Linked DNA regions of Anolis sagrei. The main gene of each other region encodes a partner of the protein of the gene in region 2 in a complex. Links are inferred from orthologs where the notes say so. Each region holds a gene or a part of one and is shown on either strand. Other genes may lie near its edges.

Evidence for each region. The genes of interacting proteins can lie anywhere in the genome.
Region 1: the proteins of LIMS1 (region 2) and RSU1 are in contact, whole or in part, in a crystal structure (PDB 7LT9), measured with the Homo sapiens proteins. The link is inferred for Anolis sagrei from reciprocal best matches to the Homo sapiens genes LIMS1 and RSU1. Residues at the interface, in NP_001180417.1 of Homo sapiens: Cys252, Phe253, His254, Cys255, Asn256, Leu267, Asn268, Lys269, Ser279, Thr280, Cys281, Asn282, Thr283, Glu293, Phe294, Asp295, Met296, Lys297, Cys303, Lys306, Phe307, Pro308, Glu310, Leu311, Arg314, Leu315, Lys317, Leu318, Ala319; in NP_036557.1 of Homo sapiens: Asp21, Ser23, Asp24, Gln44, Val46, Ser48, His49, Val67, Asn69, Phe71, Asn72, His90, Asn92, Met95, Glu112, Asp115, Thr117, Tyr118, Arg137, Ala138, Tyr140, Ser142, Asp143, Ile161, Ser163, Arg165, Asp166, Glu184, His186, Gln188.

Annotation. Positions count from the first base shown.
Region 1 is NC_090026.1:105,612,156-105,619,811, reverse strand, and holds the start of RSU1 (ras suppressor protein 1), read left to right. Parts: upstream 1-4,649; 5' UTR 4,650-4,801; intron 4,802-7,656. UniProt on the Homo sapiens protein: Potentially plays a role in the Ras signal transduction pathway. Capable of suppressing v-Ras transformation in vitro.
Region 2 is NC_090023.1:107,196,267-107,204,118, forward strand, and holds the start of LIMS1 (LIM and senescent cell antigen-like-containing domain protein 1), read left to right. Parts: upstream 1-4,848; 5' UTR 4,849-4,922; coding exon 4,923-5,101; intron 5,102-7,852. UniProt on the Homo sapiens protein: Within the IPP (ILK-PINCH-PARVIN) complex, binds to F-actin, promoting F-actin bundling, a process required to generate force for actin cytoskeleton reorganization and subsequent dynamic cell adhesion events such as cell spreading and migration.

The DNA.
Region 1 (7,656 bases), on a different chromosome or scaffold from region 2:
CAGCCTCTGCTTAAAAGCTTCCAAAGAAGGAGCCTCCACCACACTCCGGGGCAGAGAGTTCCACTGCTGAACGGCTCTCACAGTCAGGAAGTTCTTCCTAATGTTCAGATGGAATCTCCTCTCTTGTAGTTTGAAGCCATTGTTCCGCGTCCTAGTCTCCAAGGAAGCAGAAAACAAGCTTGCTCCCTCCTCCCTGTGGCTTCCTCTCACATATTTATACATGGCTATCATATCTCCTCTCAGCCTTCTCTTCTTCAGGCTAAACATGCCCAGCTCCCCAAGCCGCTCCTCATAGGGCTTGTTCTCCAGACCCTTGATCATTTTAGTCGCCCTCCTCTGGACACATTCCAGCTTGTCAATATCTCTCTTGAATTGTGGTGCCTAGAATTGGACACAATATTCCAGATGTGGTCTAACCAAAGCAGAATAGAGGGGTAGCATTACTTCCTTCGATCTAGACACTATGCTCCTATTGATGCAGGCCAAAATCCCATTGGCTTTTTTTGCCGCCACATCACATTGTTGGCTCATGTTTAACTTGTTGTCCACGAGGACTCCAATATCTTTTTCACACGTACTGCTCTCGAGCCAGGCGTCACCCATTCTGTATCTTTGCATTTCATTTTTTCTGCCAAAGTGGAGTATCTTGCATTTGTCACTGTTGAACTTCATTTTGTTAGTTTTGGCCCATCTCTCTAATCTGTCAAGATCGTTTTGAATCCTGCTCCTGTCCTCTGGACTATTGGCTATCCCTCCCAATTTGGTGTCGTCTGCAAACTTGATGATCATGCCTTCTAGCCCTTCATCTAAGTCATTAATAAAGATGTTGAACAGGACCGGGCCCAGGACGGAACCCTGCGGCACTCCACTTGTCACTTCTTTCCAAGATGAAGAGGAAGCATTAGTGAGCACTCTCTGTGTTCGTCCACTTAACCAATTACAGATCCACCTCACCGTAGTTTTGCCTAGCCCACATTGGACTAGTTTCCTTGCCAGAAGGTCATGGGGGACCTTGTCGAAGGCCTTACTGAAATCCAGGTACGCTACATCCACGGCATTCCCCGCATCTACCCAGCTTGTAGCTCTATCGAAGAAAGAGATCAGATTAGTCTGGCATGACTTGTTTTTGATAAATCCATGTTGACTATTAGCGATGACTGCATTTGTTTCTAAGTGTTTGCAGACCGCTTCCTTAACAATCTTTTCCAGAATCTTGCCCGGTATCGACGTGAGGCTGACCGGACGGTAGTTGTTTGGGTCGTCCTTTTTTCCCTTCTTGAAGATTGGGACCACATTGGCCCTCCTCCAATCTGCTGGAACTTCTCCCGTTCTCCAAGAACTCTCAAAGATGGTTGCCAATGGTTCCGAAATGACTTCCGCTAGTTCCTTCAGTACTCTTGGGTGTAGTTGATCTGGCCCTGGGGACTTGAACTCATTAAGAGCGGCCAGGTATTCCTGGACGAATTCTTTCCCAATTTGGGGTTGGATGTCCTCCAATCCCTCATCCACTCCATCTTGCTGAGGTTGAAGACTCTCTTTTTGTGAGAAGACCGAGGCAAAGAAGGCATTAAGTAGTTCTGCCTTTTCCCTATCCCCTGTCAGCATTGCCCCATCTTCTCCTCAAAGAGGTCCTATCGCCTCCTTGTTTTTCCTTTTTCTACTGACATAAGAATAGAAGGCCTTTTTATTGTTTTTAATGTCCCTGGCAAGTCTGAGCTCGTTTTTTGCTTTAGCCTTGCGGACCTTTTCCCTACAGCTGTTGGCTATTTGTTTGAATTCTTCTTCTTCTTCTTCTTCATGAATTCTTTCATGTCAGGGGAAAACCTTTACCTTACTATATATATTACATTCTATAAAACACATACATTAAAATACATGGTACAAAGTTTAAAATGCCATAGTAATATAGGATAAATGTAAAAATCATAGTTTAAAAATGATTGGGTAGGCCTGCCAGAAGAAAAGGTTCATATTCCACCAGTTTACTTTCAGTAGTCAACAATATGCTTTAAATCAGGGGTCATCATACTTTTTAAACAGAGGGCCAGGTCAAAGTCACTCAAACTGTTGGAGGGCCGGATTAAAATTTGGGAAAAAAATGAATGAATTCCTATGCACACTGCACATATCTTATTTGTAGTGTAAAAACACTTAAAAACAATACAATAATTGAAATGAATAACAATTTTAACAAATATAAACGTATTAATATTTTAACGGGAAGTGTGGGCCTGCTTTTGGCTGATGAGATAAGATTGTTGTTGTTGTGTGCTTTCAAGTAGTTTCAGACTTAGGTTGACCCTGAGCGAGGGCCGGGTAAATTGTTACATCCCGAACAGATTACTGCAACGTGCTCTATGTGGGGTTGCCTTTGAAAGCTGTTCGGAAACTTCAGCTAGTCCAATGGGCGGCAGCTAGATTAATCAACAGAGCGTCATACAGGGAACATACCACCCCTCTGTTATGTCAGCTCCACTGGCTGCCGATCCAGTTCCGAGCACAATTCAAAGTGCTGGTTTTGACCTATAAAACCCTATACGGCTCCGGCCCAGAGTACCTGTCCGAACGTATCTCCTTTTATGTCCCACCTCGGAGTTTAAGATCTTCTGGGGAGGCCCTGCTCTCGGCCCCGCCTCTATCACAAGTGAGACTGGTGGGGACGAGGGACAGGGCCTTCTCAGTGGTGGCCCCTCGCTTGTGGAATTCACTCCCTGGGGAAATTAGGTCATCAACATCCCTCCTCTCCTTCAGAAGGAGGCTGAAAACATGGATATGGGACCAGGCCTTTGGGTAATCTGACAGACTGATAAGGTAATGACAACCAGAATTTGGAAAGGGCTATGGTAATGCTGAATGGACTTACGGATTTTAGAACTCGGTGAACGTTGACCACTAGATTGTCTTTTTAGTTGTTATTGTATTAATTGATTGTTTTTAACTATTGTGGCTATTGCTGTTATGTATTTTATCTGTTGAATTGTTGGCATCGAATTGTGCCGGTTGTAAGCCACCCTGAGTCCCCCCAGGGGTTGAGAAGGGCGGGGTAGAAGTGCCCGAAATAAATAAATAATAATAATAAATAAATTACCTTGGAGGGCCAGATCTGGCCCCCAGGCCTTAGTTTGAGGATCCCTGCTTTAAATAATATTACCTCCCATTGTCCTGGCATCACTCTATCCGAACATTTCAGTATTCTGGAGGATGAACGAAGGATGCAGGAGGAGGAGGAGGCAGAAGAATGAACGAAGGCAATAAACTGGTTTCCATTACCCTCCTTGTTGTTGTTCATTCGTTCAGTTGTCTCCGACTCTTCGTGACCTCATGGACCAGCCCACGCCAGAGCTCCCTGTCAGCCGTCACCACCCCCAGCTCCTTCAAGGTCAGTCCAGTCACTTCAAGGATGCCATCCATCCATCTTGGCCTTGGTCGGCCCCTCTTCCTTTTACCTTCCACTTTCCCCAGCATAATTGTCTTCTTTAGGCTTTCATGTCTCCTCATGATGTGGCCAAAGTACTTCAACTTTGTCTCTAGTATCCTTCCCTCCAATGAGCAGTTGGGCTTTATTTCCTGGAGGATGGACTGGTTGGATCTTCTCGCTGTCCAAGGCACTCTCAGAACTTTCCTCCAACACCACAGCTCAAAAGCATCGATCTTCCTTCGCTCAGCCTTCCCTAAGGTCCAGCTCTCACATCCGTAGGTGACTACAGGGAATACCATGGCTTTGACTAGGCGGATCTTTGTTGCCAGTCTGATGTCTCTACTCTTTACTATTTTATCGAGACTGGACATTGCTCTCCTCCCAAGACGTAAGCGTCTTCTGATTTCCTGGCCACAGTCTGCATCTGCAGTAATCTTTGCACCTAGAAATACAAAGTCTGTCACGGCCTCCACATTTTCTCCCTCTATTTTCCAGTTGTCAATCATTCTTGTTGCTATAATCTTGGTTTTTTTATGTTTAGCTGCAACCCAGCTTTTGCGCTTTCTTCTTTCACCTTGATTAGAAGGCTCCTCAGCTCCTCCTCGCTTTCGGCCATCAGAGTGGTGTCATCTGCATATCTGAGGTTGTTAATGTTTCTTCCAGCAATTTTCACCCCAGCCTTGCATTCATCAAGCCCCGCACATCACATGATGTGTTCTGCATACAAGTTAAAAAGGTTGGGTGAGAGGATGCAGCCTTGCCTTACGCCTACCATGCCCTTATCTAATACCTTATGACAGTGGCATCATTGCAGAATCATGACCCTGGGCTAACTTCCTCTTTATGTTATAATGGGCTGATAGAAATGAGAAGCGTGTGCCCTTTTATTTCATTACTGGCCTCAACTTTGCTGCAACCATTTCATCAAACTGTAACTCTCGCGATTCCTTAGTCCTGAGCCATGGCAATTAAAGCGGTGTCAAAGTGTAGCCATTCCACAATGTTGTTGCACTCCCCGGCACAACTTTGCCTTCACTTCCTTCCCTTGAGCTGCTGAATTGTATCCTCGACTTTCCCGAATCCCATTGGCTAGCTCTTGAGGCGTCTCGACCAATAGCCGCCGGGCAAAGGTGGAGATTCCTCTCGGATTGGTTGGCCGCGGGCTGCACATTCCAAACTGTGGGCGGGGCCGGGGCTGCCCCGAGCGCTGCTTCTCCTTACTTGGAGCGAAGGAGAGGGTCGGGTGTCTGGGGTTGGGACTGCGCCTGCGCACTGGGAGGAGGCAGCAGCGTAACAGGGCGGGGGCTTCGGAAAAGAGCCTGGAGTGGACCTGACCGCCTCGACCGAGATCCAGCGCCCCGGTCCCTTCCCTTCCTACAGAGGGTGAGTTCCTTGGAGATGCTTCAGAGCAGATGGCTCGCCTTCCTCGATCTGGCCGGGGAGGGGGCAGAGGGTCATCCTCTCTTCCTTCCCTGCAATTCTAGCTTCCTCTGAGGCTGAGACAGTGTGACCTGTATCTGTACTGGAGAATTAATGCAGATTGACACCGTTTTAACCTCAAACGTTCACTGTTATGGAATCTCGGGAGATGTAGTTTTAGAAGGGCTTTAGCCTTCTCTACCAAATGCCCTGATGCGCCCCCAACTCCCAGGATTGCATAGCGTTGAGCCCATGGCACTTAAAAGTGGTGTCAAGCTGCATTAGTTCTACAAGGGTCTGATCAAGGGTCTGGAGAACAAGCCCTATGAGGAGCGGCTTAAAGAGCTGGGCATGTTTAGCCCAAAGAAGAGAAGGCTGAGAGGAGACATGATAGCCATGTATAAATATGTGAGAAGAAGTCACAGGGAGGAGAGAGCAAGCTTGGAGACTAGGATGCGGAACAATGGCTTCAAACTACAAGAAAGGAGATTCCATCTAAACATGAGGAAGAACTTCCTGACTGTGAGAGCCATTCAGCAATGGAATTCTCTGCCCCAGAGTGTGGTGGAGGCTCCTTCTTTGGAACTTAGCCTAGGGTCATGATAGGATGGCCAACTGTCAGGGGTGCTTTGAATGCAATATTCCTGCTCCTTGGCAGGGGGTTGGACTGGATGGCCCATGAGGTCTCTTCCGACTCTATGACTCTATGACTGTAGATACACCCCTAGCCCTGAAAAAAAATAGTGGCCCATTGAGAGCAATGTGACAACTGATTTAGCATCCCTTATCCAGAATTCCAAAACTCGCCCAAATCCAAAATTATCTACATCCCTGGTAGCAGAGAGAGTGACACCTCTGCATTCTGATGGTTCAGTGGACACAAACTTTGTTTCATGCTCAAAATTATTAAAAGCACTGTGTGTAAAGTTACCTGGATGAAGGATGCATGGCAAGCACCAGGACTGTGGCGCAGCTGGCTGGGAGTCAGCTGCATTAAGATCACCACTGACCTAAAGGTCTTGAGTTTTAAGCCAACCCAGGTCAGAGTAAGCTTCCAACCAGTTTGTGTAGCTTGATGTCGACCTTTGCAGCCCGAAAGACAGTTGCATCTGTCAAGTAGGAAATTTAGGTACCGCTTATACGGGGAGGCTTCACTCTGGAATACTCTGCCAGGACCTATCAGCTTTCCACAGGGCGTGTAAGACATATCTGTTTCGACAGGCCTTTGATCTCTGATATTGTTGTTTTAAATTGTTTTTAAATTGTTTTAAATTGTTTTTAAATTGTGTTAGATTTTAGCCTGTTCTTGTAAGCCGCTCTGAGCCCCAGGGGAGTGGCGGCATATAAGTTTGATTTAGAAATAAATGAATAAATAAATAAATAAAATATACGATGCCTTAAAAATCTCCAGCGAGCATGCAAAGAATGAGGAAGTACTTCATCAATGTCACAAATGGACGGTGAAGCGACAGCTCCCCTGGTGGCCAGAATATCCTCATCAAAAAGCTGGAATGTTAAATAGCCTCAATGTGTCTGTGTATATATGTTGTGAGTCTATGGCATTGAATGTTTGCCATGTATATGTACATTGTAATCTGCCCTGAGTCCCCTGCACGGTGAGAAGGGCAGAATATAAACACTATAATAAATAAATAAATAAATAAGCATCAATTAATTTCCTGTTAAGACTGGGGACCTTTCTCCAAGATCTCTCTCTATGTGTATCCAAATAATCTGTTACCAAAGGCTTTCGTGGCCAAAATCACTGGGTTGCTGTGAGTTTCTCCAGGCTGTATGGCCATGTTCCAGAAGCATTCTCTCCTGACGTTTCACCCCCATCTATAGCAGGCATCCTCAGAGGTATGGAGCCCCCGGTGGCGCTGTGGGTTAAACCCCTGTGCTGGCAGGACTGAAGACCGACAGGTCGCAGGTTCGAATCTGGGGAGAGGCAGATGAGCTCCCTCTATCAGCTCCAGCTCCTCATGCGAGGACATGAGAGAAGCCTCCCAAAAGGATGATAAAAACATCAAATCATCTGGGCGTCCCCTGGGCAATGTCCTTGCAGACGGCCAATTCTCTCACACCAGAAGCGACTTGCAGTTTCTCAAGTCGCTCCTGACACGACAAAAAAAAATCCTCCGAGGTTGTGAGATCTGTTGGAAACAAGGCAAGGGGAGTTTATATATCTGTGGAATGTCCAGGGTGGGAGAAAGAACTCTTGTCTGTTTGAGGCAAGTGTGAATGTTGCAATTGGTCGCCTTGATTAGCATTTAATGGCCTTGCAGCTTCAAAGCCAAAGCAAAAGGATCCCTCCAGGCAGCAACCAGCCAGGCATGGCCATTCAGTGCTAATCAAAGTGGCCAGTTGCAACATTCACAACAACAACAACAACAACAACTTTATTTTTGTATCCCACCTCCATCTCCCCGAAAGGACTTGGAGCGGCTTACATGGGGACAAGCCTGAGCAACATAGTTAAAATATAACACATTAAAACACTTGTCAGGCACCCTGGACATTCCTCAGATATATAAACCTCGCTTGCCAGAGCTGATGTACTTATTAATTGTGGGTCTGCTCCCCATGCGCTGCCAGTAAGTTTCTGCAGGATGTTATTGTGTGCAGCTGCTTTGTGCTTGGTGACAAAGGATAAAAAGATAAACTGAATAATTGTCGTAAATTAGTCTTAAGTATACTCCTAGACATAAATTAATGTATATACATCTCTCTGTCCATATGTTGTATCATAGTAGTTCAACAGGACCTGATAGTCCCTGCATGAAGAGCAAGGAATCACTTCTAAAGTATTGACACTTTCC
Region 2 (7,852 bases):
GGCAGGCCGGATTCAGCCTGCGGGCCTTGCATTTGACACATGTGCTTTAAACATTACTAATTAGAATGGGGAACTATTTGAAATATTGTAGGGAAATTGCATTGTATCCTATAAGATTTACAGTCCCATCATAGTTAATTCAGGAAAATTATAACAAGATCCCAGTATCTGAATCTCAGACGTTGCTTTTGTAGTGAATATTCTTAATCTTAAGGATAGGTGAAAGAGCCTAGTCAGGGGCCATATTGATTTGGGGATTCTTGCAAATGCGGTCTAAAGCTTTGAAATCCTAATGTAAATCCAAGTGCCCACAAGGGCTGAAGGTATAAAACAATGGTTCCCAACCTTTTTTGACAAGGGACCACTTTGACCAGGGACCACTCTCTAACATTAGTACCAAAAGGGTTATGAATCAGTTTTTAGTCAACTTTCAGTTTGGTTTGGTCATTTGTGGTGCTGATTCAGAAAATTGCATTGGATAGACCACCTCAGCTCTAGTGTTGATACAGAACATATGCCATCTAGTAGTCGCCATCTGCTCACCCACAGAAAAACATATTTAATGTGCCTCGACATTATAAAGGTTTCACAAGACCAATTGCTCTTGTTGTGACAGTGTAACTGTGAGGCTGTGGACCATATTTTAGTTCTTGCAGACCACAGGTTGGGAACCACTGGTCTAGAAGGACTGAAAAGCAAGAAAAAATGAAACACTATTGTAGGAATAGAAACAGGAATGCTTAAGCCACACATCACTCTCAGGATCCATCTGTTTCTCCTCTGTGTTTTGAAATTCCTTGAAGGAGTTTTGGACACACTCCAGTTTATCCTTGCAAAAAATTGCAATAATTTAGAGACTGGCCAAAGACCATCTGACAGATTTCATAACAAAATAGGAATTTGAACTCAGTTCTCCTGAGTCCATGTTCACTGCAGCACACTGGTTCCTAGAGGCATTCATTAAGAAGTAAGGGTAAAACCAGTTCAAGGCATATAACTGGCTTTGTTGCATGTAGAAAAGATGATTTCCAGCCGTCCCTCAGTTTGTAATCCAAACAATATGCCAGAAACATCTAATAGCTATATTTCAGTTAATGACAAGTCAGACCTTAAGTAGAGGGTGAACAAGCTTGTTTAAAAAAAACAACTTTTCACCCTAAGTATGAGCACATTTACAAATTTTGATTAACTCTTCTAAAACTGAACTGAAATAAATAGTTCCAGGTGGCTAGATACAACATTTCTAAGCATAGAGAGGAACGACATATTGTATCTTTCTGCTAGAAGGTAAGAAGGTCCTTCAGGAAAAAATGGGCAGGTAGAAGAGGGATTTGAACTCAGGCCTCCTAAATCCATAGTGGTAGCCATAATTCAGCACTAACATTGGTTGAATAAACAGGAATTCAAACCCAGTCTTTTATGAGTTAAGTACTTAAAGCCTTAACCTGGATGAACAAATCTGTCAGTTTCAATTTTATTTCTCCATTAGGTTAAAAAAAACAAAACAAAACAAATCATAAAGTTCTTTTTGTCTCAGGTATGAAGCAATCCGCAAGCTTTGAAAAATCCATATTAAAAGCATTTCCTACCTTTACCAAGTGCTCTAGGCTATATTTCATAGCAAAGAACTAGCAAAGCCACCTCTAAGTTTTCCTTGGCTAAGAAAACTATGCAATTCACGGGGCATCCATAAATCAATAGGTGGCTTGAAGCCACATACACACATAAACACAGATTTTATTTTACATATTTGGCCCCTTTCACCTCTTGTCTCTGTTGAATCAGTGTCAGTCATAAACACAGCATAGATCTTCCTTTAACAAATGCTTAATTAAACTATACTAAAATACCACATTTAAGGGTTTTGCCCTGGCCGGTCAAATTGCAGGGAAACGGTAACCCTCCCGGAAGACGCCCTTGATCGTCTTTTCACACGGTCCCTCCAAAGAAGGGATGTGAAGACAGGCTTTAATTTGTGGGTATGTTGTGAGAGATAATTAGACCGTGTGCAAGGCTAGGCTGCTTGCTGGGTTGGATGGAGGAGAATTTTAAGAATCCAGGTTATTTATTTATCACAAATATCCCACCCACACTTGTGTCTGAGGCCACACAATAGTCTTTTCTTTTATCCCATAAGCTTAATCAATGCTTGTACCACCACAGCTTTCAATAAAAGGACGTCCATTGCCTGGCCAAATTTCATGTTAAACACAGTGAAGTGTGGTTAAGGTCTGATGCTTCTATTTCTTTTTCTTTTTTAACTGCATTATGGGGAACAGAGAGACCAAAACAAAGATGTGGGAAGATGAACCTTTTTCCTTGTGCCATTTTCCTAAAGTTGCTGTTTCTCTCTAAGAGGCTGTTGAAGGAAAATAGTTTGGATGTTTACAGTGTGGAAAATGATGCAGAGGAGGGTTAATTTTCCATGCCTTGTACACTGCTAGTCCAGATGCCTAACTTCATTTTAATTTAACATGGTTAACTTATTATTCGGTGTAGCTTGATTTTAAAAACATATAATTGTTCCAAGAAAGCTTTTAGTGTGGCACACCGATCCCAGTAATTGTTTTCATCAGCAAGCCCAGTATGTACTCAAACATCTATTCATGTCTCTGTTTACTTATTTCATTTATCTTTTCAAGCCTGGTATATAATCAAACCCAATTCAAACATGACAGTTTTGCTTTATGGAAAGGTGGATATTGCCATGCCACTGACAATAGGAAGGTGGTATTACCTGTTTTGAGATATGTTTGAAAAGGATTCAGAATCCATTCCTTGCACCGTAGCAAATGCTATAAATGTAGGCTTCTAGAATTATGTTTGCTTGTCTTCTGGATTACACACTTTAGTCTTTGTTTTAAAATGTATTAGCTGCCATTCAGCTGATCAGAAGTAAGTATAGCCGCATTGTCTCATGTCAGATGGCTAGATAAGAGAAGATGAGATAGATGTTCCTATTGGTTTACAGATATGAGATAAAACAGGAATGTTGTATTTTTCTTTCCACTTAGGATAGGAATGGGGAAGATCAAGCCCTTTGTGGACTTCATGAAGGTCAAATCTGTTCCCCAGGCTCCCCATAGTTAACCACATCCCCTTCCACTGCGTACCATCCTTTGGTGTTTTTCCAGATATCACACAGTTTTTTTAATTCTAAAAATCAAAATGTCTATGCTGAGATTTAGTTCTGGAAGTTAGAGCTGTATACTGAAATATGCTACCATTTTTGGCCTTCTTTAGTCTCTGGCCTTGACCCTCAATGGAACACAGCCTCTCCTCATCCTAAAATTGAATTCCTGTCCTCATCCATAAAATAAAATTCAGCTTCCCACTTTCTCTTAGGACATTCTATGAGCTTCCCAATATGAACCTGCCTAGCCAACAAAGAAACATGTTCCACTGAAAAGGACAACCTTGATTCCATTTAATACTTTCTGAACAGGGAAGTTTTCTATGCATGTGGACGAATGTGCGACGAATGCCAGTTTTACTTACGTTGAGTACCACTATAGAAAGGATTATTCAAGGATTGTAAAGAAATTTCAAGATTTGAAGTACACTGACACTGTATGTGAGCACTTGTCACACGTTGTATGAAGAGGAAAGGGCGGGGTTACACTTGTGACAAGTATGTGAATGGAGAAAGATCTGCAGAGAGGAAGCTCCTTTATGGCATACTTCTCCTCCTTCAGTGTGGACATGAGAGAAGCCTCCCACAAGGATGATAAAACATCAAAAATCATCCAGGCATCCCCTGGGCAATGTCCTTGCAGACGGCCAATTCTCTCACAACAGGAGTGGTTGCTCCTGACACGACAAAAAAAAAAGTGTGGAATTGTGATTATGGGGGTGGAGCATGAACACTTTGGTTCTTCCTCCAAAATGAATGAACAGCTGGGAGTGCACTTGGTGGGTATTCTTCCCTTTCTATAAGATGCGACAGGAGTGCTTAAATATGGGCTGTTTCCCACTGCACAATTATTACAGTAGGATTAAATTTTAGTTGCCATCTTTCCATCCTGTGGAAACCTGGGATCCATAATTCCATGAGCCATTTATAATTCTCTTCCAGAGAGCTGTAGTGCCTCATCCAACTACCAACCCATAGAATTCTATGCGATAATAGAGCAATGACAATTAAAGTGGAATCATAGTGCTGTAATTGTGTATTGTGAAACAGGCCATGGTTTGTGCACTTCTGTTAAACTCTGTACACAGTCATATGAATTCCTTTTTGGATGACACAATGACCAGGAGCTCCATGCCCAAGCATCCTATGAAGAATGTTCATTGATCTTCTCGCTTCCTCAATCGTTGTGCTCTTGTTTATTGGAAAAAAGGCAGACCCAGCCCTTGACTGGTTTGAACCATACCGATTCTGTCATCTAGGGAGAAATAATCATTATGACTCCAGATAGGTGATCTCAGAAACAAGTGTAATCATCTGTAAAGGGACTCTTTTTTTCCATTTTTTCTGAACCACCTGTTCCCATTTCCTCATTATCTTTCCAAAGGCGTTAACGTTTATGAGATCTATATACTACAAAGCGCCGTCACAATGGAGTAAGTTTTTCCACAATAAGCTGCCAGTGACAGTTAGCATGCTGTAGTTTCCATGTATCCAAAATAACATTGCCTTAGCAGAACCCTTCTCTAAGAGTGGCAGATAGCAGGGATCATATGTTCCGCCCGAGTCAGTGTTACCACCTTGCTATGGAATGTGTTGCTTTGCTTCCAGTGAATCTCTTCCAACCTCACTATGACATTCAAACTGCTCTGCAGTTGAACACTTCACTTGAAGGTTTCAATACCACACACAGCTGAGTCCTGAGGATTGCTCTTTCTCCATACTATTCTACCGACTGTGGCTTCTTAGGCACTTTCTTTTGCAGTTGGATTTTGTCTGTAGCATTTTGAGGATGGCATCCCAAAGCAGAGGGCACTCCTATGCAATTCCAGAAAATGAAGAAGTCTCATACGCTCAACAAAATGGGCACAATGACTATGGAAATGAAGGCGAGAGAGCTGTGTCAAAATTGCAGCGTAGGCACAGTGATGTTAAAGTGTACAAAGAGATATGTGACTTTTATGCAAGATTGTAAGTTTACCTCATCAGAGTTGGCTTGTTTCTCAAATGGCTGTTATAATCCTGATTTTTATTCCAATTGTGGTGAATTAGAATTTATTATAATCCATACATTAACAAGATGCTTACAGTGAAATTGCATTTGAATCATAATATTGTGTTTTTCTAGGCATTTATTTGTTTCTGCATCTAGTAGAAATGCTTTGCAGGATCTTTCACAATGGGTTCCTCTTTTGAAGCATGTGCACAGCTTTTTCACTCCACCTATAAGCGCTAATTACTTATTTGCAGAAGCAAAGATATATGAATGTTTTTTTCTGAGTTACATCAATGTAATCTTATGTAAATCTTCCATTTCATCAGTTGAAATGAAAAATAATCATGCACCACTGTCCTTTCTTATATTTACCCAGAAGTAAACCCTATGTGAATAGGAGAGTGCTGTTTGTTTACTTGTCATTGGCATTTGGTGGTTGACCATTTGAAAATAGTATGCCAAGCAAGATTGGTCTCATATGGAGAACGGTAGCTACAGCTGTAATTCTGAACACACTGCCAACTAAATAAGTACCAGTGAACACTATGTGATTATGTCTTAGGAAAGTATACATAGCATTATCAAGTTAAATGTGCAAACATTGATATATATATATATATAGAGAGAGAGAGAGAGAGAGAGAGAGAGGTATAAATATTGCACTCCGAGGCTTGGTTTTGTTTAAGAATTGCTTGAACTGTGGGCTGGGAAGATGGATAGATAGACCATACTGTGGCTTTAGACCAGAGCTTAATTTGCAAGAAGCCAAATGAAGGTTTTGGAATTGCATAATCTTTGCAGGCTAAATGTATATGTCTTACTGGAAAAGGTTATGTGCTGCCCTTCCTGTGACTGTTGTAATTAGTTTGGGTTTGAACCAGATAAAGAGAAAGAGATTTGTTATTGCAGAAATTCATAGGAATAGAGCAGTGGGGTGGGGGGGACGGACCTTTGTAGTGCAGCCCTGGACCACAATGACTCCTTCAAACCAACAACACCCTTGGCATATTTGGAGTTCTCTACCCCTAGAAAAATATAGATATCCCCCCCCCCCCCAATGTGAACATGAATGACACTGGCATTTCTGGTCATCAACTGCAGAGCTGGAGTGTATTCACTCGGGGTAAAGAGATATATTCCCTTAACTGCTGAGAGATACTCATGTGTGCATTCTTCAGGAAAGCTTGGGTATGCAGCTAGCTTGCCAGCACAGTCCAAACCAAATCAAATGGGCTTAAGAGCTGCTTAAGATAAGACCATTTAAACTGGATATATTTCAGAGAGACTTCGGTCTGCGTCATAAGTGACATTTTGGTTAATTAACATAGGGCCACTGACCATGTCTGCATTCTAGATAGTGACATGTGGGAGAATTCCAGGCTTCAATATGCCAGCTAGCCAAAGTGCAGAAATCATTTACTCATTCCATCTGCCACACACACACAAGACAGGTGTGTGGGCAAGATATATGCACTATTAGGTGCATACATCTTAGGCGCTATTATATAGGGCAGGTTTGCACAACCTGTGGCCCTCCATATGTTTTTGACTTCAACTCCCAGAATTTCTGAATATTGAACAAGCTGGCTAGGTTTTTTGGGAGCTGGAGTTCCAAACACCTGGAGGGCCGCAAGTTGTGCAGACCTGGTGTAGACAGAACAAAGGTATGTACAAGAGACCTTCCAACTTAGCCTGTATCTCAGAGTAAGGATGATGAGTGGCAGGAACTAGGCAAGTGTCACACATAAAGCAGCCCCCAGATCCCATTCAAACAAATCATGTACATTAGCTTTTCTCAATCTCATTTTCTAGAAATGCAGTACCAGTGGTTCTCAACCGTTGGTCCTCCAGGTGTTTTGGGTTTCAAGTCCCAGAAATCCCAGCCAGCTTTCCAGCTGTTAGGAATTATAAGAGCTGAAGTCCAAAACACATGGAGGACCAAAGGTTGAGAACCCCTGCAGAAGACCAACCCCCCCCCCCCCCCAATAAGAATGCCAGCACAATGTAGTGGTCTGAGCGTTGGATTATGACTCTGGAGACCAAGGTACTAATCCCTGCTCAGTCATGGAAACTCACTAGGAAGCCTTCAACACCCTCTCAGCATCAGAAGAAGGCCAAAGCAAATCTTGCTATGAAAACTCCATGATAGGTACTCCTTAGGGTCACCATAAGTCATAATTGAAGGCACACAACAACATTCCCAATAACCCTACAGATATCTATGTAATGCTGCAGGAATGTGGCAGTTATAATCAAACACATTAGGAAGGTATTCAGTTAGGACAAACTTCCATTAACCATACAGACAGTACCAAACCTCATGTGGAGCCCAACATATTTGCAGTCTGTAAGATGTGAATGTGTCCATGGACCTTGATATGTGCTCCGCAGCTGCACGGTTTATGGTAATGTTATAAATCGTGGTTGCATTGTGCAGTATCTAGTATTTTCAGCTCCAAAGATGTTGTGGGTAAAGAAAACCCACCACCACCCAGACTACCATTGGTTAGTGAGAAATCTTGTCACTGATAAATACAAAAAACTTATTGGCAATACGTTCCACTGAATTAAGAAGACCATGTCAACATATGATGTTCACTGCATGTGATAGGTTTAGAAGTCAGGTCCTTTTTGTTCCCACAAATGAACTAAGTTTTGGGTTTCTATGCTACAGCCTTGTGATAGTGTCCAGAAAGAGGGGACAACGTTCAACTGCATATGGGTGA